Linked DNA regions of Ovis aries. The protein of the gene in region 6 interacts with the protein of the main gene of each other region in a biochemical or structural test. Links are inferred from orthologs where the notes say so. Each region holds a gene or a part of one and is shown on either strand. Other genes may lie near its edges.

Region 1 (4,270 bases), on a different chromosome or scaffold from region 6:
CCCTCTGTATCTTCCCATTCTCAGCTCCAACTTCACATCTAAACGCTGTCATCCGCATATTCGCTAATTTAATCCTCATTTAGAAGTCCTTCAACCCACGCTTTAGCTACCGTGCCGCCGCCCCTGAGCCTCCCTTACCGAAAATCTTAGGACAATTGTGGGCATCCAGTAGGTGCTCAGTAAACAGCAGTAACAGTTAGTGGGTTTTTGCTATCTCTCGTCTGGTTTTTCCTGCAGGTCCAGCTGCTCCCCTGAACCCACCTTCCAGTCCAAACGGGATACGCCTGCTCCCCACCCCTCTAGGTCCAGTCCCCTGTCTCTGGTCTCCTCCTCTGCTCAAGCTTTTGTCCTGGTCCGGGCGGCGTCGGACCGTCACCTCGTCCACCTCTCCCGCAGCCCGTCCCCCACAGAAGCCCTGAGCTGGTCTCCGTGGCCCCCAGCTCTGCTTCTCACCGCGCTCTTCGCCTCCGGAAACCGCGTCCTTCGCCTCCGGGATTGAGCAGGGACTCACGGATCCCAGATTCGTCCAATTATAGGGCTCCCCCCTGGCCCGCCCACTTCTCCTGAGCTGGGGCAAGCTGGGCCAGCCCCCTCAGGTCACGAGGTGGGCTGTCCTCCCCCTTCACACACAGCAAGGAGGGGAGGGGGTGGGGCCTGGAGGCCTGGCAGCCCCCACTCCCAGCCCCCTTGAAAAGATGACTTCTCACCCAGTAACTCAGGCGGCTTCCTCCATCCTGGTGGGTAGGTGAGCTGGTGAGGGCTGGGACAGTGGGCATGGAAGGGGCTGGAACAGGCCACTGCCCACAGCACCCATCCCCTGCCCTTCTCTTTTCCAGCGGATGGATGAATAGAATTTGGGGAAAGGACTGGGGGCCTGAAATCCCTGGTTAGAGGAAGGAGGGGGTTGGGACTCTGGGTAGGGAGGGGGAAGGGAGCTGGCTGGCTGGATAGAAATGGGATAGGAGTTCTGGGGACAGTACAAGGTATCTGCTACAAGCCCAGGCTTTGAGAGTGCAATCTGGACTTTACCATGAGCTCCCTCTTGCCCTCTTCCCTTGGGCACAGGAGAGTGCCTCTCTTGAGCCCCCTTCCCCGGTTGAGACCTGAAAATCCAGCATTTGTCCCAACTGTGTATTGTTCCTTCAGTGGGGCCTGAAGCATGCTTCAGGACTGTGCCTGCTTAGGACTGTGGATTCCAGAACCAAACTGCTCAGGCCTGAATCCAGGCTCTGCCAGTTGTCAGCTGTGTGACCCTGAGCCAACGACCCAGCCTCTCTGAACATCCAGTTTCTTGGTCCACAAAACCAGGAAAAGAGTTGCACTTAACACCGTCATTCGGTGAAGCAACAGGCTACTGTGTGTACTGAGAACAAGTAGGGTTAGCTGGCAAACAGTGGCCCCATGTTGGACTTCAGTTCTGTGCTGGGCCACAGTGAACACTCCTGTCCCTCCCTCCCTTGCAGCCCTGTTCATGAGCCCCAGCTGTTTCACAGACGGGCATCCTGAATTGAGAGTGTTGTAGCCACACTCTCTGCTCTCTGGGAAGTAAACTCACTCAGAAGGACAACGCAAATAGTGGAGTGCAGTTTATTACACCAGTGGGCCCAAGGCAGAGTCTTCTCTTAGCCAAGGACCCGGTCAGTTTTTGTGACAACCTTATATACCCTAAGTGTACATGCTCAAACCCTCCTCCCCGAATTCCTCAAAACTAGCCTGGATAATGTGAAGGGGCTAAATCATGATTCATATATTAGTCCAGACACCTAATTAGGCTAACATATATCAATAGGTTTTGTGCAGATAACAATTTGTTTTCCTCTGGGGTAGATTAGTATATTCTTTTCGGCGACAGAAAGTCCAGGAACAAGTTCTGGAGTCCCTTTATCCAGGGGTCTGTTTTTCAGTTGGAATGTTGCTTTTATAGATTCCAGGCACAAAGCTCAAAGTCCACTGGGAGAACACCCCGGCATGTAGTCCAAAGTTTTCAAGAAGTCTAAAATGGGGTCCTGCAGCCAAGATGGAGTCCGCTTTGCCCACTTTCCTCTTTTATTCCTCTCTCTTGATGCTCCTAACTCTCAGTGGGAGCATCACTCATAGGAATATATTGTACCCTAGGCCTCCTAACACCGATCTGGGAAAGTGAGGTTCGTCTCTAGGTTACAAAGTTAACAACATGTTGTAAAGTGCAAGGGCCGGATAACAGAACTATTAAAATGACAGTGAGCGCAGTTTCACACCAGTCACCCTTTACCCAAGATAGGACCGAGGTCCAGAAGGGAATATTTTCATCTGACATTGCTTTTGCTTGGTCCCTCATGTCACCCAAAGCAGTCGTTACAGTGCCAGATAAATCAGGAATGTATATACAACGGTCAGCCTTAAGTATGGCACAGGTTCCATACACAACATTCAACCTTAAGTATGGCACAGGTTCCTCCCTGTGAGGCGGTGAGGATGTCTAATGCCATTCTATCCTTGATTTTTGTTGTCTTACTTGATGCAAAAAAACCTCATAGTCATATCACCCCTCTGTAGAGGTGATACGCGCCGTGGGAGCCCGTCCATCCCAGATAGAGGCATGGCGCTGGACTGGCCCAACAGCCTTGTGCCCCTCTTTAGAACAAATCCCAGATACCTCACCTCCTCCTGGCAGATCCGAGCCTTCTTTTTCGAGACCGGGTAACCAGCCTCTATCAGCAGTCCCAGCGAGGCCTTGGTTCCTTCCCAGCAATCATCCTTGTTCTCAGCGGCCAGGAGCAGATTGTCCACGTATTGCAGCAGCCAACAACCAAACTTTTCTGGCTGAAATGCGCCTAAGTCCGAAGCCAGGGCTTCTTCAAAAATGGTTGGAGAATTTTTAAACCCTCAGGGGAGGGGGGTCCAGGTTAGTTGTTGTTTGGCGCCCCCTGTTGGGTCTTCCCATTCGAAAGCAAAAATTGGTGGTGATACCTGGGCTAGGTGTGTACAGAAAAAGGCATCTTTTAAGTCCAGACAAGGATAGAACTTTTGCACTTCGAGGGAGGAAGCTGAGTAAGGTATATAGGTTTGGGACTGTGGGTTGCAGGGTCATGGAAGCTTGGCTGACCAGCCTTAAATCTTGTATTGGCCTATAGTCCTGTCCCCCTTCCTTTTTAACTGGCAGGATTGGTGTATTTCATTCTGATTGGCATTCAATCAGGATGCCGGCCAGTTTCAGTCTATATAAATGTGGCAGTATGCCGAGACGAGCCTCCAGGGGCAATGGATACTGGCGTTTTCTAACCGGGGTGGCACTGGGCTTAAGTTCTATTATTATTGGAGCATGGTGTTTGGCGAGCCCAGGGGGGTTTCCTTCTGCTCAGACCTCGGGCAGTTGTTGAGCCAGTGTTTCCTCCCGGCCGTTCATCCCCTCTAGTCTTTTCTCAGTATATTCATGTAACCTCCATTCATCTTGTGGGGTAACTGAGAGGGAGAGTAAGTAAGTAGCTGGGCGGGTCAATGTGCAAAGTGGGGTGTTCGTGGGGGGAAAAGGTCACTTGTGATCCCAGTTGAGAGAGTAGATCTCTTCCTGGTAGAGGTACTGGGCATTCAGGGATATATAAGAACTCATGAGTCACTTGGTGGCCCCCGCCATCTGGCACTTTTAGGGCTTACAGAATTGTTTAATCATTTCCTTTCCAGGTATCCCAGTTATGGCAGTGGCCTTTTTCGAGAGAGGTGCCGTGGGTTCAGTTGCTACTGACAATCCTGCTCCGGTATCCACCATGAAGTCAGTAAGTTGGTCCCCTGCTTTTAATGTTATCATGGGCTCTTGTGGACCTGTGTCTCTGAGCCCCGGCATCCCTATTCAGTCTCTCATCCGTCAAGGCTTGCCACTGTACTGGTTGATTCCCGGCTTTTAGTGGTTTTAGGACATTGGTTTTTCCAGCGGCCAAACCCTCGGCACCAGGCACGCTGATTGGGCTGTAACGTGGACCTAGGCTTTCGTGGAGGTTTCCTGAGGGAGTGGTCTCGTCTCCAGGAGGGAGGGGCTTTCGTGGGCAGCCTGGCAGGCCTTCCCAAGGCCACGGCTAGCATTGCAAATCTCTGGTCTGCTCAGTTTTTCAGTTTCTTTCTTGGCTTCCACATCTCTGTTTCTGAATATTTTGTTTGCAATTTCAACTAGTTGGGAGCTGGACATTGATAATACTCCATCCAGCTTCTGGAGCTTTCTTTTAATATCAGGATAAGCCTGTGACACAAATGTTGAGTTTATAATGATGTGAGAGCCCCTGGCTTCGAGGCCGATCAG
Region 2 (3,500 bases), on a different chromosome or scaffold from region 6:
AGGCTAGCACTGTCCAGAGGAAGTACCCATGTGGCTTTTCTTATATACTTTTTAAAAATTTATTTTTAATTGAAAGATAATTACTTTACAGTATTGTGTTGATTTCTGCCAAACATTAACATGCATCAGCCATAGGTATATCTATGCTCCCTCCCTCTGGAACCTCCATCCCACCTCTCTCCCTATCCCACCCCTCTAGGTTGTTATAGAGCCTAGTGTGAGTTCCCTGAGTCATACAGCAAATTCCCATTGCCTATTTTACATATGGTGATGTATGTTTCCATGTTTCTCTCTCCATACATCCCACCCTCTTCTTCCTCTCTCTCCCACGTGCATAAGTCTGTTCTCTATGTCTGTATCTCTGTTGCCCTGCAAATAATTTTATCAGTACCAGCTTTCTAGATTCCATACATAATGCGTATGGAATTATCTTTCTGACTTACTTCACTCTGTATAGTAGGCAACTTGTTGCTTTAGATTTCTCAATCCCCACCTGAGCCAGAACTGTTTTTATTCAGTTTAAAGCAAAGTTATCACTGGGAACCCACATCACTCACTGGGCTCTCAACAAGCCTGTTAGAATGCTTAGTTCATGCCAGTCTACTCCTACCTAAAGAAGAGCCTTCCTTACCGTCCAGCCATGGATCACCACAAAGGTTTTGCTGCTGTGGTTGAAGTGACAGTTAGCCACAGATTCCGTCACTCCAGGAATGAGGTGGCAAGTGTCCTCAGCTGTGTCTTCGGGAGTCCTGAGAGCAAATTTACTTTCAATGTCTCTAAAATCTTTTCCTCTTGTAATCCCTGAAAATGAAAAATTGGATAGGAGGTTAATTAGAGGGTGGTTTGTTTTATTTGCTGGACTAGTGTGCTTTAGATTCACAAGCAAATACCACTAATGCTATTTTTGTTTCTAAAGTAAAAAAAAAAAAAAAAAGTAGATTGCAAGAGAATGGTTGATCCTCCAGTGGTACTCAAAGTTGACAGTGCTCCAGTGCTCAGTTGTATCTGACACTTTGCAGAGGATAAGATAGTTGAATGGCATCACCAACTCAATGCATATGAGTCTGAGCAAACTCCGAGAGAGCGAAGCACAGGGAAGCCTGGTATGCTGTAGCTCTTGGGGTCACAGAGAGTCGGACATAATGACCGACCAACAAAAACAAGCAACAACAAAGCTTGTTTGAGGGAAGACTGTTTCCTTTTCACTACACTATTTTTAAAAATTTTAACAAGAAGAAAAGTTAGAAGCATGGGGACATTTTGTATGGAATTATTCCTCCCCACATGGCAAGATACATCAGTTCAAAATTGCTTTAGTGATTTGTTCAGAAATATCTGTGCTATGTATGAATTATGATTAATTCTTTCCCCTAATATTTCTTTCCTCACTTATGTCTTCACAGACTTCCACACAAAACCGATGCTTAAAATACTACAGCAGAGGCGGTTTTGGAAAGAATCCACTCTTCATTGTTAAGCCCCGACTGAGTCAGGAGAGTAAGAAAACTCTGGCCTATTTTTGAGTCTCTGGACAATACTTCTAAATGTTGATGAATCTTCACAGGGTATTTGTAGGAAGTACATACTATATCATAGTAAACATCTTAAGTAAATTTTAAGTAAATTGTATTGCAATTTACTTTTGATTTTGCCCAAGAAGTTATTTTACTGTTAGAAACTGCCTTAGAAAATTTCAAGCTAGGTTAGTTTCACCCACATCACTCTGTATCAAATGATTTATGTTTCCCTTCTTAACAGTCTTATTTTAATATGTTCGATCAGCAAGCTTTTTAAAGCAGAAATAACCTGAACAATCTGGCAGACAGATCTCGCCCACCACCTGGTTGCTAAACTGATATTTAAGATTATTGCTATGCATAACTCCAGAGGATAAGAGTCACTTTTAGTCTATTTTTTTTCTAGATTTATGCAACATGGTGGCCCTAGAGTTGCTGGTGGTTTTGAAATGACTAAGAATATTCTTTGAAATTATTAAGGCAGGATTTGTATATTTCTATGAAAAAGAAAAGTCTGTTAAATCTTTAACTGTTGTACCAGATTACCATATGGATCATTCAGAGCTCCAATTTCCCACACCATCATTTCTATGGGCTACATAGCTTGTAAAGAAAAATAGAAGAAAATTCATACATTTACAAGAAAATTTGTATTTGGAAACTTCTGTTTTGCTTTTCACGGATTTTTTTTTTAAGTTACAGAAAGCATAATGAAGCCTTTGACAAGAAAACAGTACCCCTCTATATGCTATGTGATGTTTTCAATTCTTTGTCTATTCTGTATATGAAATTATAGATGCTACTGGTGTTTAATCAGTCTTTCCCTCTCCTTGGTGTTCTGACACATACCAAAGGTATTTCCACATACCTGGTTGTTTGTAATCACTTAAGGATGTCTTGGCATTCTAAAGATGAGTGTGGTTTCCCAATTTCTACCAGCCCTCATACAACTGACTTAGGCCAGGAAGAGTTAGGGAGAAGGATAGACCCTGACTGTGGGTCAACAGTATGTTTAGTCATCATAATATATACCCTGGGGATTGCTCCTGGCTGGCAGATTGAACTGATTTGACTCAACTGCTACTAAGGAAATTATTGTTTTTTATACATGGAAATGATAATAGAAGGACCTTTCACTAGATCCCCTTAGAAGTAAAGCCACCTTAGAATAGTGTGTGTTACAGGGGAAGTTGCCTAACATTTAATCCTTTTTAAGGCCTCTGTTCTGAATTTGACTCATCATATTAGTAACATCACACCATGAGATGTGTCCTCATCAAACACTAAGGGAGATTTGGGGGCATCAGGTAAGTTACAAGTCAATGCATTTCTTGACTATGTAATCTTCATCTCTAAATTCCTAAATAAACAACAAAAAATCAAAGTGTGTTGACAAAGGCTAGGAGTTATCTTAACACAGATAATAACTCACAGAGATGAAATTAGGTCAAGTCCAAACCCTTTAAAGGTATACTTATAGAAGGTACATTATAGGAGGAGCATTGAGCATCCCAGAAAAGTGACTCTAAAGGCAGTTCACAGTTATCAGATAAATAAGATTAACATTTATATGAAGACATGAGGTATATGAGCTCAATTATAATGCCATTCTCTTAAAGTTTTTACTTCCTTCCTTTCTCTGTTTGTTTTTCCTCTCTGACACACACAAACATACACTCCTAAATAATGTCATCAGTAATTCACTTCTTCTCTGAGGCTGATGGTCATAATTATCAGCTCAGCTTCTATAGAATGCTGACCCCCCGCTCCCCACCAAAAAAAAAAAAAAAGGTTTGGGGAAAAAAATCAGTGTTGCTATCTGAATGAACTGATTGGAGTTTTCAGACATTCTAATGTAGACAAGCCGCTTGCTTACCTAACAAGCAGATTGACTTTCCAATTTTACAAAAAAAAATGTTTGCAAAAATATCAGCTGTAAACTCTACAGCCTAATTTCTCCTCCTGAAATAAAGCAAGAAAGGA
Region 3 (3,937 bases), on a different chromosome or scaffold from region 6:
CTAAAGACCCCCCAGTTGTACCAGTTCCCCAGGAAGAACTGCTGCTATCATTTTCTGGAGAATCATGATCAAAACCAGAACTTGCCTGGCTTGTACCTTCAAAACTGTTTATAAAATGCCTGCTGTGGGCCCAGCACCCAGTTCCTTTTCCCTTTGTACTAAGTTTCAACTTTCAGGCGATCAAGAGGTCTGTTCATCTATCCCTCTATGCCCTTCTATAGAAGTCTTTTTCGCAGGTGGGAAAGTGGAATGTAAAATGCACAAGTATGACTGAGAAAGTGTGCTCTCCTTAATATGTAAGTAGACGCTCAGGCGAATAGCAGGAGACCGTGTGCCTGGACTTGAGGGCTGGACTAGGGCAGATGGTTCAGAAGATTCTTCCTAGCTCGAGCTTTCTGTGAGTCTGGATCCTCCTCACCTTTTAATCTGGCTCCACTGGAGACCCAGCCCTTGGTTTTGTGAGCTGGTTGGCTAGGATGAGTTTTACTGTCTGAAACTAGGGACACAGTTTTTCTCTGTGCACAGAGAACAGCCAAAGAAGGAATGAACAGAGTATTCCGGTCACTCACCGTCCACTCTGACCATCCTATCAGAACAAGGCAGAAAGTCACTCATAGGGAATACAGATTTTATTCTGAGACTGCACATGCCTGGGAGCCTTTGAAACTGAACACTTCAACTCAAGACACAAATGTTCCCTCCTCCCTCCCCCAGATATTCAGTATTCAGAGAAGCATATAGATTTTGAGTTTTGACTGGAACTAAGCCTACTATTGGGCTTCCCAGGTGGCGCTAGCAGTAAAGAACCTACCTGCCAACACAGGAGACATAAGAGATGCTGGTTCGATCCCTGGGTGGGGAAGATTCCCTGGAGGAGGGCATGGCAATCCATGCCAGTATTCTTGCCTGGAGACTCCCATCGACAGAGGAGCCTGGCAGGCTACAGTCAGTGGGGTTCCAAAGAGCCAGACACGACTGAAGTGATTTAGCACACACAGCAAGCCTGCTTGCTATTCATTCCATGAGCCATGCTGTCCCCTCGGCCTCTGATCCAAGACAGCCTACCCTCCCTCTGGAAGCTTTGGAAGTTTAAAGCCAACTGTGCTCCTCTCAAACGACGGTCTAGCCCAAGGCCCCTCACGCTGCTGTAAAACCCCAGGCGGGACCAGAAGACCTGGAGGTGAAGTAGAGACAGGCCCCACCTGGGCAGGGACTTCCCAGATGGCCTGTGGTCCTGGCCACTCACTCACAAAAAGCCTTTCGTGGTGATGACAGCTTCACGTCACACCGCCAGGGATCTGGCTGGGTTGCTCTTTGCATTCGTTTGAAATCTACTGATCACCAGCTCTGCTCACCAACACGCTAGGTCCCCAGGTCCCCAGGTCCTGCCCCCACAAGCGAAAACTCATCATGGGACCATTTCTGTTCCTCCAGAAGCAGGAACTGTCCCAGGCCAGTGCAGAAGCCACAGAGAGCAGCCTCACTGGGAGAATCTGATCTAATGGTTTATAAAATAAACCGAGCATCCGCAAAGAGCCTGGACCATTCGGGCGGAGAGCAAGCTCTCGCTTGCTCATGCCAAGAGCCGGCGCTTGCAGGCTGGTGTCTCTGAGAATGTTTTAGGTGCGATCAGTTGATGGGTAGGATGGAGCTCTTCCTATTTCGGTTATTTGCGCCGTCTCTGCTGGCGCCAGGTCTGGCTTTGCTCTCACAGGAAGCACTTAGCCGGCAGCTCCTCTGACTGTCATCTATTGATTCTGGAGCAGTCAGAGCCCAGATCCTGGGACGTCTTCTGCCCCCAGGCAAGACTTGCTAGGAAGCCCTTCTGAGGAAACTCCACTTAGCGGCTGTATTTCAGAATTTCTTCATGGGCTTGCACACACATGCACACGCACACACACATAATGTTTTCTCTGTCATGCACCAGCTGCGGGAGGCCACCACTGCCGTCCACATCAGTCACCGCCACCACACGGCTTTGGGCTTGAGCGTGTCATCAGTTACCTTAGAGTGCCTTCCTTCCCTCCCTCCCTCCCTCTCTGGGAGGTAAAGAAAATCAACATAATAACAGTGAAAGCCTAGAATGCCCAATACAGTTCCTGTAGAGAGCTTGGGGAAGAGAAGACTCTGTAATTGGAAGAGTCCTCAAAGAGCCCTCCCCTCCCATCCTGGGCAAAAAGCCAGAGGACAAAACCCGGCCTCGGAAGGAGACCGGAGGCTTCGCTCTGACGGTTTCCCCCTTCCTCTCACCCAGCACTTCCCACCCAGTGAATCCTCCGTGGGCAAGTCGCTCTCTGCCCAGCCCTGCCTCAGTTTCCCTGTGGGCTCATGCCCCCGGGACCCTCTGGCCTCTGACCCCATCAGCCTGTCTCCCTTCTCTTGCCCGTGAGTGATGAGCCGGGCCCACCGTCTACTCAGAGCGGGTATGGATCACCCTTTTCACTTTCCCCTGTGCGAGCAGAGATTTCTGCTTCAGGAGACACAACCCTAGTGCCCTCTCTCTTGCCCTGACCGCTGCTGTCCCCTCGAACGCTTCAGCCCATCCCTGTAGGATGCACATTCAAAAAGAAACCTCCCTCCAGACATGGATTCTAGCGAACCCCACTTTTGGCCTGAGTGACGGAGTCAGCCCCCTCGGGCCGACATTCCTTCAGTGGCTCATAAAGACTTTTAAGAGAGAGAAGAGGAGCCAGGGACAGAGAGGCACAGAGTCCAACCTACCGTGCGCCCAAGCCTTCTCCCTCCTCCAGAGGCGTTGTCTTCGGCGCCAGGCTCTGCAGGACCGTGGCTGGCTCTCCCTGCAGGGCACCGGCCTCCTTTAAATTTCAAGGCAGGGGGTGGGGTCGCTGGCCCTGGGTGGGCGGGCTTTGCTGCGGCAGGAGGATGCCCAGTGGACACTGGGCCCCGCAGGAGCCAAGCTGGGGCGGGCCTCTTTTCATAAAGGGGGGGAGGAATTTCCCCCATGGAAGCAGCCCAGCCCATCCTGGCTCGGGGCCAGGCCGATTATTCATGGTCCTGATGTCATCAACGAATCACAGGAATTTGGGAGTTGGATGTTGGAGGGGAACCCGAAGAACCATCTTCCTTTCAAACCCTAGTCTCAACCTCCTTAAAGGGACCCTGAGGATCCGTTAGCTCTAAGCCCCAGTGGGGGAGAGAGGCTTTTACAATTCTAAACAAAGACACACGGAGTGGATAGGGTTCTTCCGGAATCTCCAGCAGTCACTCTGCCCCTCTGGACACAGGAGATTGAAACAGCGGGCCTGGCAGGGCCAGCCGCCCTGCGGGCTTGATCACCTGGGGCTGGGGTGAGGACAGGTTAGCAGAGGTAGGCAGGCCCCACCTGCACACCTGCAGTGCCCCAGCCTGGAGTGAGCCACTCCTAGCTCCATCACCCCGGGGGGAAATCATTTCACTTCTTCATAAAGTGAATCCTTGATTACTAAGGTCTGTTCAGCTCCAGAGATGTCTGGTTGGGCTGGGGGATACAGGTGGGGTTGCTGAGTTGATGCTCTGACTCCACGGGGCTGCCTGTACTAGAAACTCCATCCCTCCCCGCCCACCCCGACACTGGGAAGTGTTTTAGTGTTCTGGAGTTTGCTCTTAATCGTAAATGCTCCGTAGGATTTGGTAACCCCCTGCAGAGGACTCATAAGTCAGGGCCCAGGGCTGAGCCATGTAGGGAAAGGCAGACGCTTGAATCAGCTGTACCGGGCATGAGGGATGTGACCTCAGTCAAGTTTTTCAGTGATGCTGAGCTTTCACGTCTGAGGTCACATATGGATTAGAGAGAGACAAAGCACGCGAGATCCCTGGCACGTCACAGGGCACAGTCGGTGGCATCTGTTATGTCGATGTCTAGTGGAGACCAGGCACCATGAGGGTGAGAGAGGAGGACGAGGAAGGGTGCTGGAGAGGATGCTGGGGGCTGGCAGAG
Region 4 (4,008 bases), on a different chromosome or scaffold from region 6:
CACACTGTTTCCTATCCTCTAAAAATCACAGTTTTACTATCTCCAAAAAAATTGCCTACTGACACCCTCCTATAAGACCAGCCTCTCTCTCTAACTTCTCTTATACCACTAGTCACCAGCCTTGCTCCATTTCAGCCACAGTTGGTTTCTCTGTGCTCCTCAAATGCATTCAACTCATTCCTGCCTCAGGGCCTTTGCACTTGCTATTCCCTCTGCCTTTAATGCTTTCTGGTCTCAGGTCAATGGTCATTGTCTCTGAGAGTCCTTTTCCAATCCCCAGACTGATGTCCTACCCCAGCTTTTTCTTACCACACATCACCATCTTTTAAAATTGGTGTCATAGCAGTTGTTACTATCTGTCAGTTTTTACTAATTTACTTGTTTATTGTTTCTGTCCTCATACTGGAGAGTAAATTCAAGACCTTAAGGATTACTTGTCTATCTTTTTGAACCTCTTACCCTACTCCATAGAAGAGACTGGCACAGTTGGCATGCAAATAAATTGTTAGTGAATGAGTGGATTGTTACTGATGTATTATTATCCCAGGAAAAGCACACTTGCTGTGAGTAGGGAAAAGTCCTACCATTTGCTATCACTTAACCTGTGTAGAGATCGATGTTTATCTCATTTGGTTCTTACAGTAATCCTATGAGACAGATAATCTGGTTCCCATTTTGCAGATGAAGAAATGGAGCCTCCATCATTTCTTCGGCAATTTGCTTAAGATCTCAACAACTGCAACTGGAACCCTTGTCTGCCTGTTCCTGTGCCCACACACTGGATCCTGGGGGAGGGCACAACAACTTCTCTGAGGATTCTGCTCGTGCAAGACAGCACGTGTCTGCTGCGGCAAAACCTCGTGTGTGTGAAGACTCCGCCGAGGATGAGGCTGTGTAAAAGCATGTGCAGGCCAAGAGCCTAGCGACAGCTCCCGGAGGACTTCCTCTAATAAACCGTCATTACTTGGCCTGAAGTCCAGATTTCTCTGCGGAATAGAGAGTCCCAAAAGGTGAAGGCTGCGGAGTGGCTGCAAGTTTTGGCCTCGCTGTGTTCAGAGCTGGGAGGGAACTTATGAGTGGGTACTGAGGTCCTTCTTCCCTCCAGCGGTGCTCACGTCCTGTCCGGGTCGGCCTCGCTACTGATGCGGTCGCCTGCATTCTGCGCTAGGTGGCGAAATGCTGTGGGGCTCCCCTATTCGGGGGAATGCGGTAGTGATGTATAAGGTATGAAAGATGTGGCCTGCAGAGAGCCGGCACTATCTCTACTGCTGCCGCTACTGCTGCCGGCAGAGCTGCTGGGAGTGAGCATCCCCCGTCAGGGATACCCAGCTCCGCGGCATCTCCTGCGCGCCCTGGCCCCAAACGGACCTGCCACCCCCAGGGAACAAAAGCAGAGCCCCCTCGCCCTCTCCTGCTGCAACCGGAGGATGAGTCGAGAGGGCTGAGCGGAGAGTGTGGTCCTCGGCGGCCGGCGGGGAAGGTAGGAGAAGGTGTTGGGCTCTCTCGCTCAGGCGTGGGAGGCTCGGGGTGGGCGGGCAGGGGCAGGGGCGGCAAAGGGGACCAGTCTGTCCCCGGGGTGCTGCCCGGCCCGGCGAGGTGGTCATCTGGAACGCAGCGCCCGCACCGCCTGCCAGCCCAGCGCAGGGCGGGTGTGGAGCTCCGCAACCGCGAGGGAGCCCCCTGGGTGGGAATCGGAAGCGGCTGGGGGAAAAGTCCAAAGCCGAAGCCCCACAGGCAGCGGTCCAGGGCACTCGGTGGCGCGCGGCTGGCTGCGAGGCAGGCAGCGTTGGCTGCAGTGTGCGCAAAGTTTTGGGTGGCGCGCAAAGGCGCGGGCAAGGGCCCTGCGCAGCGCAAGTTGCGGCCGCAGCCAGAGGGCGAACCCCGGGGGGCGGGGGACGGTGCTCCAGGCGGACTCCCCGACACTGAGACTGGCGGCTTTTGCTCCTCCATGCCAGCCGAGCCTGGGTTTGCCCTCAGCCATTTAACCCTTTCTGACCTGGGAGAAACAACTTCATCTTCTTCGGAGGCGGCTGCACTCAGGCTGGCTGGATGGCGTCGAGGCTCCCAGCTCAGTCCTTTTGAGCTTTTTCGAGTTTCCCAGCACGTTCTAGGTTTTCTGTTCTTTTCTGGCCACCTCCGTGTCCAAAAACCAGGCAAGCTGGCTGGGGCGGGGTGTCTTCCCCCACTATCTGTAATTTTACCCCACGTACCACCCAGACGCATGTTTTCTCTGTTCTCACTCAGCTTGGCTCTTTGATGCTGTCTTGAAAAATGAGATGATTAATCAATTAGGTTAGTGGCCAATTAGGCATAACCTTGTAGAAAAATAATTATGCCCAGCTCTCTGGGCTTTCACTGTTGATGAGGTGGGAATCCAGCCCAGGTGGAGGGGCTGTTCTAAAAAGATAGGGCCGATCAGGGAATTTCTGGAAATTTCAGATTAAAAAGATTCAAATGTGTGGTAGTGGCGGAGGTTGTGCGGGTGCTACTGTAGGGGTGTGTGTGTGAGAGAGAAAGAGAGAGAGATAATCAATTTTTGCAGAGGAAATTAACCCTTGGCAGCTCGGTCTAGAAGGACTTTGCAGGCAGTACGTTTCAAACACCTCAGGAAAGGTGTGTCCGCTGCTTGCCTTCCCCATCCCCCCTCAACGCTGAGGGGCTCTCGCCTGTAAATCGCCTCACAGTCGCTTTGCTGTTGCTTTGGGAGGCTGAGTTCCGATGAATGCATTTTAGTTTCATGTCCGAGGAATCGCGTTGTTGCATAGGGAGGTTTCTATGCTGTGCCTTCCGAGGATACAGATTTCCCCGGCTTGCGTTCAGTAAAGCGGTTATTAAACCGGGATAAAACAGAGACAATGTGTTACCAGAGCTGGGAAGTTCTTGCTGCCAAGCGAGGCTTCCTTTTGCTTTTGGGTAAAGGACTGGCGGGGTTTGGCACTGCGGTATTACAATACAGCCATATTAAAAAGGTCCTCAGAGCCTAGAGCCGTCCACCACTGCAGCCGCATCTCCCACAGACTTTACTGCTGGAATCCTTCTTCCCGGGAACATGCGGTGGATTTCTGATGAGTACTGAGTGCATTTTAACCCCGTTCTGTTTCTATTTTAATCTTCTTCTGTTTATATCTCTGGACCCTGGAAAGTAGATTCCTGTCCAGAAAGCAAAAACCTAGAGGTGTTCCCAGGGTGGAGGCATTTTTGCAACAGGTCGTAGGTCTGGGTTTTCTGATAATGGGTCCCCCTGGCATTTAGCAAGCTGGGGACCTGCTTCCTTCACCAATGACCGGACTGGGGTGAAACAGGGGGTCCCTGAGATCCCCTGCAGTGCTGACTGTAACTGGTTCTGAATTGTATGGCTTTTCTTCCTTTCCAAGCTGATCCAGAGGAGTAGCTAAGCAGTGCAGTGAGGCAGTGGCTATGCCGCCTCACTCCCAGTAGAATGGAGGGGGACTGGCTGAGGCTTATTGGCAAATAGAAATGGTCCAGCTGGAAGACTGCCTAGTGGTACTGGTGTCCGGGACAACTGGGAACCACATGCCCCACCTGCCTTCATTGGAATCAAGGGCCACCATCCAGTCCTCTCTCTTTTACAAGATTTTTTTTTTTTTCTTTTCTTTTCTTGAAGCTAGACTCAGGTAGTTACCTTACTGTGACCCTATTTGTTGGTCTGAGTCTTGTGCTGGCAAAGGCCTTGCTCCTTTTCTGTAATCAAAGCTTTTTCACATAGTGGGTAGGGATATAGGGTGGGTGAGGTGGGGGGGAAGGAAGGGAGAGAGAAAAGAGGGAAAGAGGAAAAGGCGGGGGGGGGGGGGGGGGGGGGCAGTAGTAAGAGAAAGAGAGACAGAGACAGCTTAAGACTTCAAATACAGACAGTGGGAAAGAGAGAGGCGAGATGGAGAACAAGAAAGGAGGAGGGAGAGAGGAGGAGGAGGGGGAGGACAAGGAAGGGAAGGGGAGGAAGAGGAGGGAGACACAGGCAGAGGGAAACAGGAGGAATTCCAGCGCTGA
Region 5 (3,500 bases), on a different chromosome or scaffold from region 6:
TTCATCTGGGGGCTGGGGGAGTTGCAGAGCCGGATCCTTGTGATCACACCATCTCCACATGTTACGGAACAAGATGACCACGGGGACCAGTGGCTCCAGCCTCCATCCTGTTTAACTAAAGGACAAAGCTGATGGTTATATGGTGCTTCCCACAAGCCAAGCTCTACATTAACACTTTAAATGCATCCTCTAAACCACATCTTCAAACTCGCCAAACTAAACATCTTTACACTATTTTTACCCCCAATTTACAGATAAGAGCCTCAGAGAGGAGAAGCTGTGCTCAAGGGTGCACAGATAAGGCAGAGAACTGGGATTAGATCAGAGTCTAGAACCTGTGCCCTCAACCTCTGTGCTCTGAAGTTGCTATTGGTGACAACAAGGACAAGTCAGGTCTCCACATCCCCAAGTGGCCCAACACTTACATCTCTTGTCACACTCCTGGATGTGGCAGGTCCGCGTCTGCACAGAGGAGCCCTCGCATCTGTTGTTGAGGCTGTCGCAGGAGCGGCCACGCTGCTGGATTCCATTGCCACAGGTCACAGAGCAAGAGGTCCACTCAGACCACGGGGACCAGCCATCGTCTGCAGAGTCGCTGGCTGCTGAGCAAATGGGTGCATTTAGTGTGTTATCATGAAAACAAGCTATTCTTTGGGCTGCTCTGCTCTGGACTTTCTTCCCATGCCAGAGAGTGAAAAGCAATATATTTGTTAGGCCAATGGCCAAGCGGTCATTCTGTGCACAGCTTTGGGGTAATTGCATGCTTTGCCTGGGTCGGTATAGCTGAACCTTTCCCCCACATATGTTTCTAGTCATCCTCGCCCCCTTCTTCCAAGTCTGCATTTTAAATGAGTTTCCCTTTTTTGACTTAAGATGTCTTGGTAGGCATTTCCAGCCCCAGGCTTCCAAGAATACTTGGGTTTTAGGCAACTTATAGGAATCACTTCTGACTTTCAGGAGAGTCAGAGACCCACATGTTTGGCAGATGAATCTGAAGGCAGCGGAGCCGCTGTTGGCTCTGGCCCTGGATCAGTCATGAGGTCAGTCAGCGGGTTGCTCCTCTCACCCTAGCATTTGGGGCCTTTTCTGCACATATTTTCATAAGAGGGAAGTGTGTTTGTTTACCATCTGCCCAGGCGCCATGACTACAATCACGTCCTGTATCTGACAGGAGATAGAGAACTTTGTTTTCTCTTGCCATCAGTTCGAAGTTTTCCTAGTAATCCCTGACTCAAAATTCAGCACTCTGCTAGTCCCTAGCTAGCCTTGTTCCCTTTAACCCACATCTGAAGTGAATGCTGAACAGAAAGCAATGTACAAATGATTATGACAGTTCCAATGTCACTGACATCTCTGAAGGGAACTGGCTCTTCTGAGCTATGATCCGTGTGTGTAGGAAACAGGGAGTGTGGGGGGCGTGGATGTGAAGGGGGAGTGCTACTTTCCTGTTTCATGCATCTTAGTTGTGATAAATCATCTTTATGACTTGTACTTACTACAGTGTCTCAGCAAAGTGATTAATTATACTGGCAGCAAAACCCAGGGACTGGGTACCATGAAACAATACAATTTCTTACAGAGCCCTGAGACTCAAAGTACTATTTTTTCTTAGGTCTCCTACGCCTGTAGATAAAATGGGTAGAACTTTCAGGCCCAGTTAAGTCCATCAATTTCTCCAGTGAGCAGATTTTTACTGACTCTAGGCCACAAGGTCAGATTCTAAATCCAGTTAACTTAAAGCTACTGCTGCTACCAATTCATCTCATCTTTTCTCAAAGCACAGAATCATACTCAATAAACTATACTAAGGTTATTGTCTACACCACAATTAGGGGGGTAATTTAGTCATAATGGCATTTTTTTGGTTGTATACAGCAGACAAGCCATCAGCTAACCAGATGCTGTAGCAAGAAACTGAATGAAAACATGTGACAGAGATGGGACTGGTATTCCAGCATTATGTACAATCAATCCAGTCACTGAAGCATGGCCAACAATCTTAGGAACTTACGCCAGCACCGTGGGCAGCATTCTCCATCAGGAACTGTGGCGTTGGAGCAGGGCATGATGGGACAGGACACTTTTTTGCAGATGGTAACTGAGTTCTGCAGGGCAACAGTGAAGGAGAAATGGGTACTAAGCATATTGCAAGCAGAAGCTTACATACTGAACCATTTCAATTACAAGCTGAAATGTCGTCTGGGCTATAAATGCTCTAGTGGAATGATTTTAATAGAAGCTCTGCCTGTCTTTTGGCAGCCACCAGTACTGTAGAGACAGTTCAAGGGCTGCTTACTTGTCACTCCATCCCTCTAGAATTCGTCTCAATTGCCACTTAGTCACTTCTTCATGCACAGAACAACATGAATTTATGCAGTTGGAACCACCTAATATCATGAGTCAGATCTGTTACTCTGTGTCTAAAATCAAATTCCTGAAACTCAGCCAGGACTTTAAAAATTTTAAATTACATCTTTATGGGGAAAAGAAGATCAATGAGCATCTTACTTTCTCATATATAAATATGGCTTTATATAATATTGGACAAAAATGGGAGTTTAGTAAAGGTGGCTCCCAAATCCGGCAATCCATGATTTGTATTTAAGCTTGACTTTGCTCAATGAGCCAGCAACACCCCCCCAAAATCCTCTGCCCCTGGCGTTGGGTAGGGGGTGAGCCAGAAGGACACATACACTACAGGCAGTACCATCTGAGGTAAGTGGATAGTTCTAATGATGTTGGGCCAAGTGATTTGAATAGCAATCAGTACTGTATTAAAGAATCTCCATGTCATAGCCAAATATGAATCAGGTTGTGGGGGGGGGGTTCCAACTTGATTTTACTTACCTGATATTCAACACTTAGCTCTTGAACTAAAGCAGGTAAGTTACCGAGATATTTAAATAGATATACTCTTTTAGATATTATTCTTAGCCTGGGGTATAATTAAGACTTTGAAAAACTCTGAGCATTTAAATGATTTTATAGATGTCATAGCTGCATCTTAAGAAAAAGACACCACTTGGGTATCCAGCCATGGAACATGAAAAGAGCCTCCGCAGCCATCTGGCTCTTTCTTCAGAGAGTGTGCCATCCATTTGTGTTTCAGTCCGTCGAGAGCCTTACCTGGCAGCGACACTCAGTGCAGCTGTCCACCGTCCACTCGTCACCAGTCCTGTACTGGACTCCGTTGTGGTAGCAGAGTGGGGGCCTCCTCAGCTCATTGGCCAGCTCTTTGTTCTCTTCGGTCTAAAAGGGGGAGAAAGGTTATTAGCATCGAGCCTCACTTTCAGTCCCTCAGCATCATCACCATCACATGCAGGGGCTCCTGCTAACAGGCGGTGGGTGGAGACTACTGACCACTTTGCGGATACTGTCCTGCAGCGTGGTCACAATGGTGCGTAGACCCCTGAGCTCTAGGACCATGCTGGACAGCTCGTCACATGAGATGCCACAAATGGCTTGCAGGTCCTTTGTCTTGTGGCCGATGTAGTCGGTGC
Region 6 (3,500 bases):
ATTTGCAGGAGCCCCTTTCCTGTTCCCCCCCTCCCGGAAGGCAGCATGGGGGGGGGGTTTGCTGAGGAGCAGGCAGGAAGGAGAACGGAAAGAGATAATACTGTGCTCGCTTGCTCGCTTGCTCACTCACATATAAAAAGTAATTCCTTCATTTTTTACATTTATACATCCCAGCAGGGCTGGGGAGGGGTTGGCTGGGCAAGAGGGGGGCTCCTTGAAGGACTTCTCTGGCCGGGGGCAGAGGCTCTCTGGGGAAGTCCGATGGTGTAGGACCCTACGCCAAGGGGTCCCCTATCTCATCCTCAGGGCCCCGGCCCAGGAGTTCTCGCTTCTCGTCCGTGCTGGCCAGGGAGTGGCGGCTGCCATGACCGCCCATGTACAGTGTGGCATACACGGGGTTGGTGAAGTTGGTGGGCTGCAAGGCAACAGAGGGTTCAGATTGGGCTCAGGTACCTTCTACCTACCTCCATTCATTCCATCATCCAGCCCAACACACTTGGTTGCCCCACCCACAGCCCTCTGTTCCTGTCCTGGAAGCCCCCTCCCAGCCCACCTTGTCAGGGTCCAAGGCGAAGTCCGCATCCAGTAGGCCCCCTACATCATCAGGCTCCCCGCCTTCATACATCTTATAGGTGGGATTCCCGATCTCCACGTTCATGGCCCCGTTGGTCATCCGCTGGTGCTGGAAGCCCTTAGCCCTGGGTGGGTGGGTGGGGGGGAAGGTGGGAGCATGAGGGCAGGGATTCTAGGAGGGGGTGGGACTAGGGCAGTAACATCATGGCCCTAATTTTCCAGACTCCCCACAACTCACCCTCGGACTCGCCGCTTGTACCAGAATACCACTCCGGCTACCAGAAGCATCAGCAGCAGCAACAGCAGAGGAATTAGGATGGAGGCCATATCTAGAGGCAAAGAGGAGGGAAGCTGAGTCCAAAAGGCCTCAGAGGCACAAAGCCCTCCATCCCACGTCCCTTCCACCTACGTCCAGGCTGCTGCTGGCCGACCACTTGTTCCTCACATCGGGGTCCCGCCATGTGGGGTGGGCACCTGCAGACGGGAGGGGCAGAGCTGAGTGGGCATGCCATCCACCAGGGAAACTGGGAGGAACCGTAGGCTCCTGCTGGTCTGGCTCAAACTTGGGGGAGGGAAGGCTGATCTAGGCCTTGGTGAGGCACAGGCCCAACTCACTGGCACTCAGGCATCATTTTGCTGTTCATGGTGCAGGAACCGCCATTGCTGCAGTGGCCAACGCAGGTCAGACAGCTGGGGGCCACCCGGCCATCGGAACAGCTGCGGGGAGGAGGGCAGCGGCTGGGCGGGGCTGGTGGAGGGTGTCCAAGAGGCTGGGAAGGGGCGGGGCGGGGCTGGGGGGGTGTCCGAGAGGCTGGGAAGGGGAGGGCTGGGGTTGGGAGGGTGGGTTAGGCTGGTGGGGAGAGGGTGGAGGGTGGGACAGACTGGGAGTGGGCCCCACTCACTTGCAGGTGACATCCCCGCTCTGCTTGTTGACCACACAGGCCCCGTCGAGACAGCGGCTACACTTGTTCACCTCACACCTGGGCCCCTCAAAGTAGGCGGTGCAGCGGCACTGGCGGGAGCCATCGGCGGCCATCTGGCACGTGCCGAAGTTCTCACAGTAGCCAGAGCACTGTCCTGTGGTTCAGGGGATGAGAGAGGAGGTGTCTCAAGCCCCACTGTCATGAGGGTCCTCTAGAGGTGGGGGGGGCCTCTGGCCTTTGGGGTGACTTCCACCTCCTCCTGAGCCCCCCACTGTCTCCATGTCACAGGCTCCAGGGTTACAAAGATATCTGGGAGCATCCCAACAGGGCACTGCTTTTGCTTGAATAATCCCAATGCCAGAGGGTTCACTACCTCTGGGAAGAGGGGGTGTGCTGACCTCTCCCTGGGGAGAAGCCCTGGTACCTCGAGCCTGGCTGAGCTGCGAATGGCCTCCTTCCCTAGAACTAGCCCCTGTGACCCACACACCCCCCACCCCCACCTCCATCATCCCTGGCTGGGGCCCAGGGGTGGCTCACTCACGGTACTGGCAGCGGTCCCCCAGGAAGCCGGGCAGGCATCGGCACTGGGGCTGGTTGCCCTGGTTGACCGTGCAGGTGCTGTTGTTGGCACAGTAGCCTGCACACACCTGCTGGGTGCATTTGGGGCCCGTGAAGCCTGTGGGGCACCGGCACGTGGGCATGCCTGGCAGGAGACGACGTGTGAGCCGGACTGTGGCCCACTGACCGCCTGGCCCTACTGCAGGGGAACAGGGCTGGGAGGCAGGCAGCAGAGGACAGCAATGCTGGGGTTGGGGGCAGCAGGTGGGAGGGCAGCAGAGGCGAAGTAAGGCAGGGCAGAGGTGGCTTGGGGGCAGCAGGGTCCAGGGGCCAGGAGGAGTCCTGGCAGGAGAACCAAAGGCCATACCCGAGGGAGAGGCAGCGCAGGTGCCCCCGTTGCGACAGTGCTCCCAGCACTGGTCCAGCTCACACTTGTCGCCTGTGTAGCGGGGCTGGCATCGACACTTAGGCTGCCTCCGTGCGTTGAGGAAGCAGCTGCCGCCGTTGAAACATTGTAGGTTGCAGGTTCCAGGCCGAGGAGCTGCAGGAAGGGTTGTCAAGGGCAGAGCCGGCGTAGGGGGTGGATTCAGGGGCTGTAGGGAGGAGGGTTCCAGGGCAGGGATGAGGGGCCAGGGAGGGGCGTGAGCATACCGTCTGGCGGGGGCGTCGGTGAGGGCACAGCCACACAGGTGCCATTGTCCAGTCGCTTCCCATTGGGACAGGTGCAGACGGGCCCACTGGGACTCAGCAGGCAGAGCCACTCGCACTTTTTGCGGTCACAGGGGTTGGTCACTGCAGAGGTGGGCAGCGTGGGAGAAGGCTGAGTCCTGTGACCCAAACCTCCCCTGCCCACCAAAACCTGAGGCTGCAGCCTGGAGATAGCACCCCTGGGCCTTCCCTGCCCCAGCCCGGGCTCTCCCTCTCTGCCCACCTTCAGGCTGCTTATGCTGGTGGTACAGGACCACATCGGAGGCGTGGCTCAGGCCCCCAGTCAGGTTGATCAAGGGGCTGTGTCCAAACTTATGGATCTTGAAGACACGATTATTGATGTAGGTGACGCCATAGATGTAATCCTCGAAGACATCAATGCTGAAGGGGTGACTCAGGCCTGGGGAGAAGTCAGAGGGGACTTAGACCTTAGTGACACTCTCCTGTCACTGGGTCCCAAGGCTCTCAGGGACCTCAAGCTGAACACGTCCTGTTCACACCACCCCTCAACCTATTCCTCCCACTGGCAACAGGTCCCATCAGCCTCTGAATGTGGGGTCAGGAGCGACTTCTGCTCCCTCTCCCCATGTGTGCTAAGTTCCCATTATCACCCATGTCGCCTCCACGCAGCTCAATACCTATTGGTAAAATGAATGAATGTAAAGGGGGCCCAGAGGGTCAGGGTGGACTCAGGCCTGCAGGACTGGTCCTGGGGGTGACTGGTTGGGAGGGGCCCAA
Region 7 (3,182 bases), on a different chromosome or scaffold from region 6:
TTGATATCTGTCCATGAGATGGCCATAGCCTAGTGTGAAGAAGTTCCTAGCAGTTACAAGATGTGCCAAGAGTTGTCTCAGCAGCACCCTGTCTGCCTGTGGCAGGGAAGGCTTCCCAGACAGGAGGGCCTAGGTGAACCCTGATGCGTGAGAACTGGGAGTTTCGCAGACAGTCAAGAGAGGAGGAGCCCTCTGGAGGGAGGCTTTCCCTCAGTTACAGTCTGTCCCTGGAGGGCACCCTCTTCTTTTACTCTGTGTTTCCCATCTGCCTTGCTGGGCATTTGCCAAGATTAGACGTTGATAATGCTACATAAATCCTTTGAAGCTCAGGGAGCAGTAAAATACGAAGCTTGACAGGTCAGATGAGGCCAGTTTTTGGAGGACTTCATGCTTAGGAGAGAAGTTTGGCTTTGATCCAATCAGAGGTAAGATGAGCAAGGCCAAGGTGAGGGAGGACTTTGGGGGAAGATGTGTTTTCTGCCCTCAAAGGGTCCACAAGTTCGGTTCCCAGTGGGAGCCCAGAGGCACTGACAGGGGCAAGCGGGCCTGGGGGCGGACCAGTGCGTGCTTCCGCATGGACGTCAGTCACTCTAACGTCGTCACTGTAACCACACACAGATGACACAGCCAGCTCGTGAGCAGTGCAGGGAGCAGAACCTATGCCCCATGCTGCTGCCCTGGTTCTCTGCTGAGTCCCAGTGGCGGTGGCATGCACGGATGCATGGGTGGAAATGTCATGGGTGGAAGTGTTTAACGGCAGTTAACATTAGGAGTTAACGGAAACATTGTTACAAGGGCAAGTTGATTGATCTAAAAGCCAGGAACCTTGGATTCCTTGGCTTTTGCATAAATATTAGAAATTACTGAGTGCAGTAAGATTTTGACAGCCCCTTTGGTTCTGAGACTAGGACTACAGACAAGGGGCAGGGGAAAGGCCTGGCTGAGAACTCAGGCTCTGGAATCAGACTGCCTGTCTTCAGATCCTCATTTCTCGGTTGTGACCTAAGGTCAATTACCTGATTTCTCAATATAAGCTTCAGTTTCCTTATCTATAAAATGGTGATAAAGGGATCTGTTGTGAGATTGTGTATGACAGTGCACTATAATGTCATAACGTGGTGTGACACATGAGACAACATTGCTCAAATGGAAATTAAAAAAAAAAAAAAAGCCAAAAGCAAAGCTTGCATCCTGGAGTCTTAAGGACTGGCGAGAACTGGCCTATAGGGGCTGATTTAGGAGTTGTATGAAGCACTGCCGTGTGTGAATGTGGAGAGCAAGGTATGGGGAGGATAGAACTTTGGGGGTCAGTCTGCTTAGAAGGCTGGAGGAAGAGACAGAGTCAGTGAAGCAAAGCAAGCTTAGGATTCAAGATGGAAGAGACTAGAAAAGTGCCAGGTCACCGAAACCAAGGAGGAGTGCACCAAAGAAGGGTATCTATGCAGCATGGTCCAGGGCTGTGGGCAGGTGAAGTAGGGATGGGGCAGAGACCCCGGGCTTGACTGGGCAGAGCTGGACAGTCCAGCGTAGAGCTGGGGTGTCCTCTGTCCACCACCAGCAGTGCCATGTTCATGTCCTTGTCTTTCAGGGGTAGATGTGATAAATGGGGCCCTGGAATCTGTCCTGTCCTCCAGTAGCCGTGAGCAGTGGACCCCAAGTCACGTCAGCGTGGCCCCTGCCACTCTCACCATCTTGCACCAGCAGGTAAAGACCTGGGTGGAGAAGGTATGGCAGGGCCCTGCTGTGGAGGGCAAGACTGGGAATGAGGGGAGGGGCCTCCGGAAAGATGGATGCACCCAGTGGAAGAGGGTCCGGCCATCCCTTTCCAACTGGTGCCCCTCCCCGCAGACGGAGGCAGTGCTGGGGGAGTGCCGGGTGCGCTTCCTGTCCTTCCTGGCCGTGGGCAGAGACGTCCACACGTTTGCATTCATCATGGCTGCCGGCCCAGCCTCCTTCTGCTGCCACATGTTCTGGTGCGAGCCCAATGCTGCCAGCCTCTCGGAGGCCGTGCAGGCTGCGTGCATGGTGAGTGGGGAGGGTGGTGGAGCGGTGGCGCCCAGCCCACTTGGGGCAGGCTGCGGCATGACTGCACCTCCTGCCTTTGCAGCTCCGCTACCAGAAGTGTCTGGATGCCCGCTCCCAGGCCTCCACCTCCTGCCTCCCAGCGCCCCCAGCCGAGTCTGTTGCCCGGCGTGTGGGGTGGACCGTCCGCCGGGGCGTTCAGTCGCTGTGGGGCTCCCTCAAGCCTAAACGGCTGGGGGCCCACACCCCCTGAAGCCGTCCGTGCTCCCTCCACCTGCTTGCGTTGGGCCCCAAGGAACTCAAGGGTGCGGGGTGGGGAGGGGCCCTGCAGGCTATTATTAGACTTCAGGTCCCCCCCCACCAGAGTTGCCCTCCCCAGTAGCTGGGGTTCCTCACCTGGGGGCTGGGAAGGGAGATCTAATTCTGCAAGTGACAATATTGGATTGAGAGAAGAGGAGCAGAAAGAGGAAGCAAGGCCAGCCCCAGCTCTCCATCCCCACGTTTCAGGTGAAGCAGGAGGAACTGGTCGAGGCCAGGCTCCATCTTCATAGGATCCTGCTGGGGCAGAAGCGGGGGGCCAGTCCAGGCATGGGTCCTCTCTCCTCTGCTCTGTGGGTACCTCTGCTGTACTGATATCACTAATAAAGTCTGCCCTGCTCAGCTGTGTGCTTTCCTGTGCCCGCAACACACCATCACTCCAAGAACCCTCCTCCTTCCGTTAGGATTTTGTTCCTGGGCCCCCCTTGCCCTCCCTGCCTCAAAAAAAGAAATTGGGACAGTTGCAGCAGGGTCTCGAGTCCAAGTCCCTTGTATTTATTTGAACAGCCTGGCAACCAGGCAGCAGCAGCCGTACAGGGTTCCTGGCTGACCAGTACAGGCCTGGGGTGACAACTTCTGTCTGGTCTGCCCAGGTCAGTGCCAACTTAGACCTCTGCTCCATGGCCACAAAAGGACAGCAGCCTCAGAGCAGCCAACCCCCCTCCCATATTTTGCTAAACCAGCTCCAGGAAAGGAGGTCTTGTTTTCGAGGTGTGCATGGACCACCAGAGATGGGCCCTTCCACCAGACGTTCTTCTCACAGTGGCCCTCTGGAGTTTTCACGCCTTTCCTACGACAAGCTCTTTCCCACTTCTGGGCCCCAGGGGTGTCAGCACAGCAGT

What was found.
Region 1: the proteins of LRP1 (region 6) and APOE form a complex in vitro, tested with the Homo sapiens proteins (2 studies listed by IntAct, with this or other methods). The link is inferred for Ovis aries from reciprocal best matches to the Homo sapiens genes LRP1 and APOE.
Region 2: the proteins of LRP1 (region 6) and LPL form a complex in vitro, tested with the Homo sapiens proteins (3 studies listed by BioGRID). The link is inferred for Ovis aries from reciprocal best matches to the Homo sapiens genes LRP1 and LPL.
Region 3: the proteins of LRP1 (region 6) and PLAT form a complex in vitro, tested with the Homo sapiens proteins (2 studies listed by BioGRID). The link is inferred for Ovis aries from reciprocal best matches to the Homo sapiens genes LRP1 and PLAT.
Region 4: the proteins of LRP1 (region 6) and DAB1 form a complex in vitro, tested with the Homo sapiens proteins (2 studies listed by BioGRID). The link is inferred for Ovis aries from reciprocal best matches to the Homo sapiens genes LRP1 and DAB1.
Region 5: the proteins of LRP1 (region 6) and THBS1 form a complex in vitro, tested with the Homo sapiens proteins (3 studies listed by BioGRID). The link is inferred for Ovis aries from reciprocal best matches to the Homo sapiens genes LRP1 and THBS1.
Region 7: the proteins of LRP1 (region 6) and APBB1 form a complex in vitro, tested with the Homo sapiens proteins (2 studies listed by BioGRID and IntAct, with this or other methods). The link is inferred for Ovis aries from reciprocal best matches to the Homo sapiens genes LRP1 and APBB1.

The regions. Positions count from the first base shown.
Region 1 is NC_056067.1:52,423,412-52,427,681, reverse strand, and holds the start of APOE (apolipoprotein E), read right to left. Parts: upstream 2,801-4,270; 5' UTR 2,641-2,800; intron 746-2,640; exon of another isoform or gene 690-745; intron 504-689; exon of another isoform or gene 262-503; intron 1-261. UniProt on the Homo sapiens protein: APOE is an apolipoprotein, a protein associating with lipid particles, that mainly functions in lipoprotein-mediated lipid transport between organs via the plasma and interstitial fluids.
Region 2 is NC_056055.1:45,935,610-45,939,109, forward strand, and holds part of LPL (lipoprotein lipase precursor), read right to left. Parts: intron 802-3,500; coding exon 632-801; intron 1-631. UniProt on the Homo sapiens protein: Key enzyme in triglyceride metabolism.
Region 3 is NC_056079.1:36,401,518-36,405,454, forward strand, and holds the start of PLAT (tissue-type plasminogen activator), read right to left. Parts: upstream 2,801-3,937; 5' UTR 2,722-2,800; intron 1-2,721. UniProt on the Homo sapiens protein: Converts the abundant, but inactive, zymogen plasminogen to plasmin by hydrolyzing a single Arg-Val bond in plasminogen.
Region 4 is NC_056054.1:32,967,013-32,971,020, reverse strand, and holds the start of DAB1 (disabled homolog 1), read left to right. Parts: upstream 1-1,208; 5' UTR 1,209-1,480; intron 1,481-4,008. UniProt on the Homo sapiens protein: Signaling adapter of the reelin-mediated signaling pathway, which regulates the migration and differentiation of postmitotic neurons during brain development.
Region 5 is NC_056060.1:33,437,131-33,440,630, reverse strand, and holds part of THBS1 (thrombospondin-1), read right to left. Parts: coding exon 3,361-3,500; intron 3,250-3,360; coding exon 3,127-3,249; intron 2,106-3,126; coding exon 2,012-2,105; intron 603-2,011; coding exon 426-602; intron 116-425; coding exon 1-115. UniProt on the Homo sapiens protein: Adhesive glycoprotein that mediates cell-to-cell and cell-to-matrix interactions.
Region 6 is NC_056056.1:162,409,824-162,413,323, forward strand, and holds the end of LRP1 (prolow-density lipoprotein receptor-related protein 1), read right to left. Parts: intron 3,163-3,500; coding exon 2,986-3,162; intron 2,847-2,985; coding exon 2,706-2,846; intron 2,596-2,705; coding exon 2,422-2,595; intron 2,200-2,421; coding exon 2,038-2,199; intron 1,651-2,037; coding exon 1,476-1,650; intron 1,291-1,475; coding exon 1,189-1,290; intron 1,048-1,188; coding exon 983-1,047; intron 903-982; coding exon 812-902; intron 699-811; coding exon 554-698; intron 416-553; coding exon 275-415; 3' UTR 115-274; downstream 1-114. UniProt on the Homo sapiens protein: Endocytic receptor involved in endocytosis and in phagocytosis of apoptotic cells. Required for early embryonic development. Involved in cellular lipid homeostasis.
Region 7 is NC_056068.1:46,391,686-46,394,867, forward strand, and holds the end of APBB1 (amyloid beta precursor protein binding family B member 1), read left to right. Parts: intron 1-1,588; coding exon 1,589-1,704; intron 1,705-1,848; coding exon 1,849-2,025; intron 2,026-2,107; coding exon 2,108-2,275; 3' UTR 2,276-2,682; downstream 2,683-3,182. UniProt on the Homo sapiens protein: Transcription coregulator that can have both coactivator and corepressor functions. Adapter protein that forms a transcriptionally active complex with the gamma-secretase-derived amyloid precursor protein (APP) intracellular domain.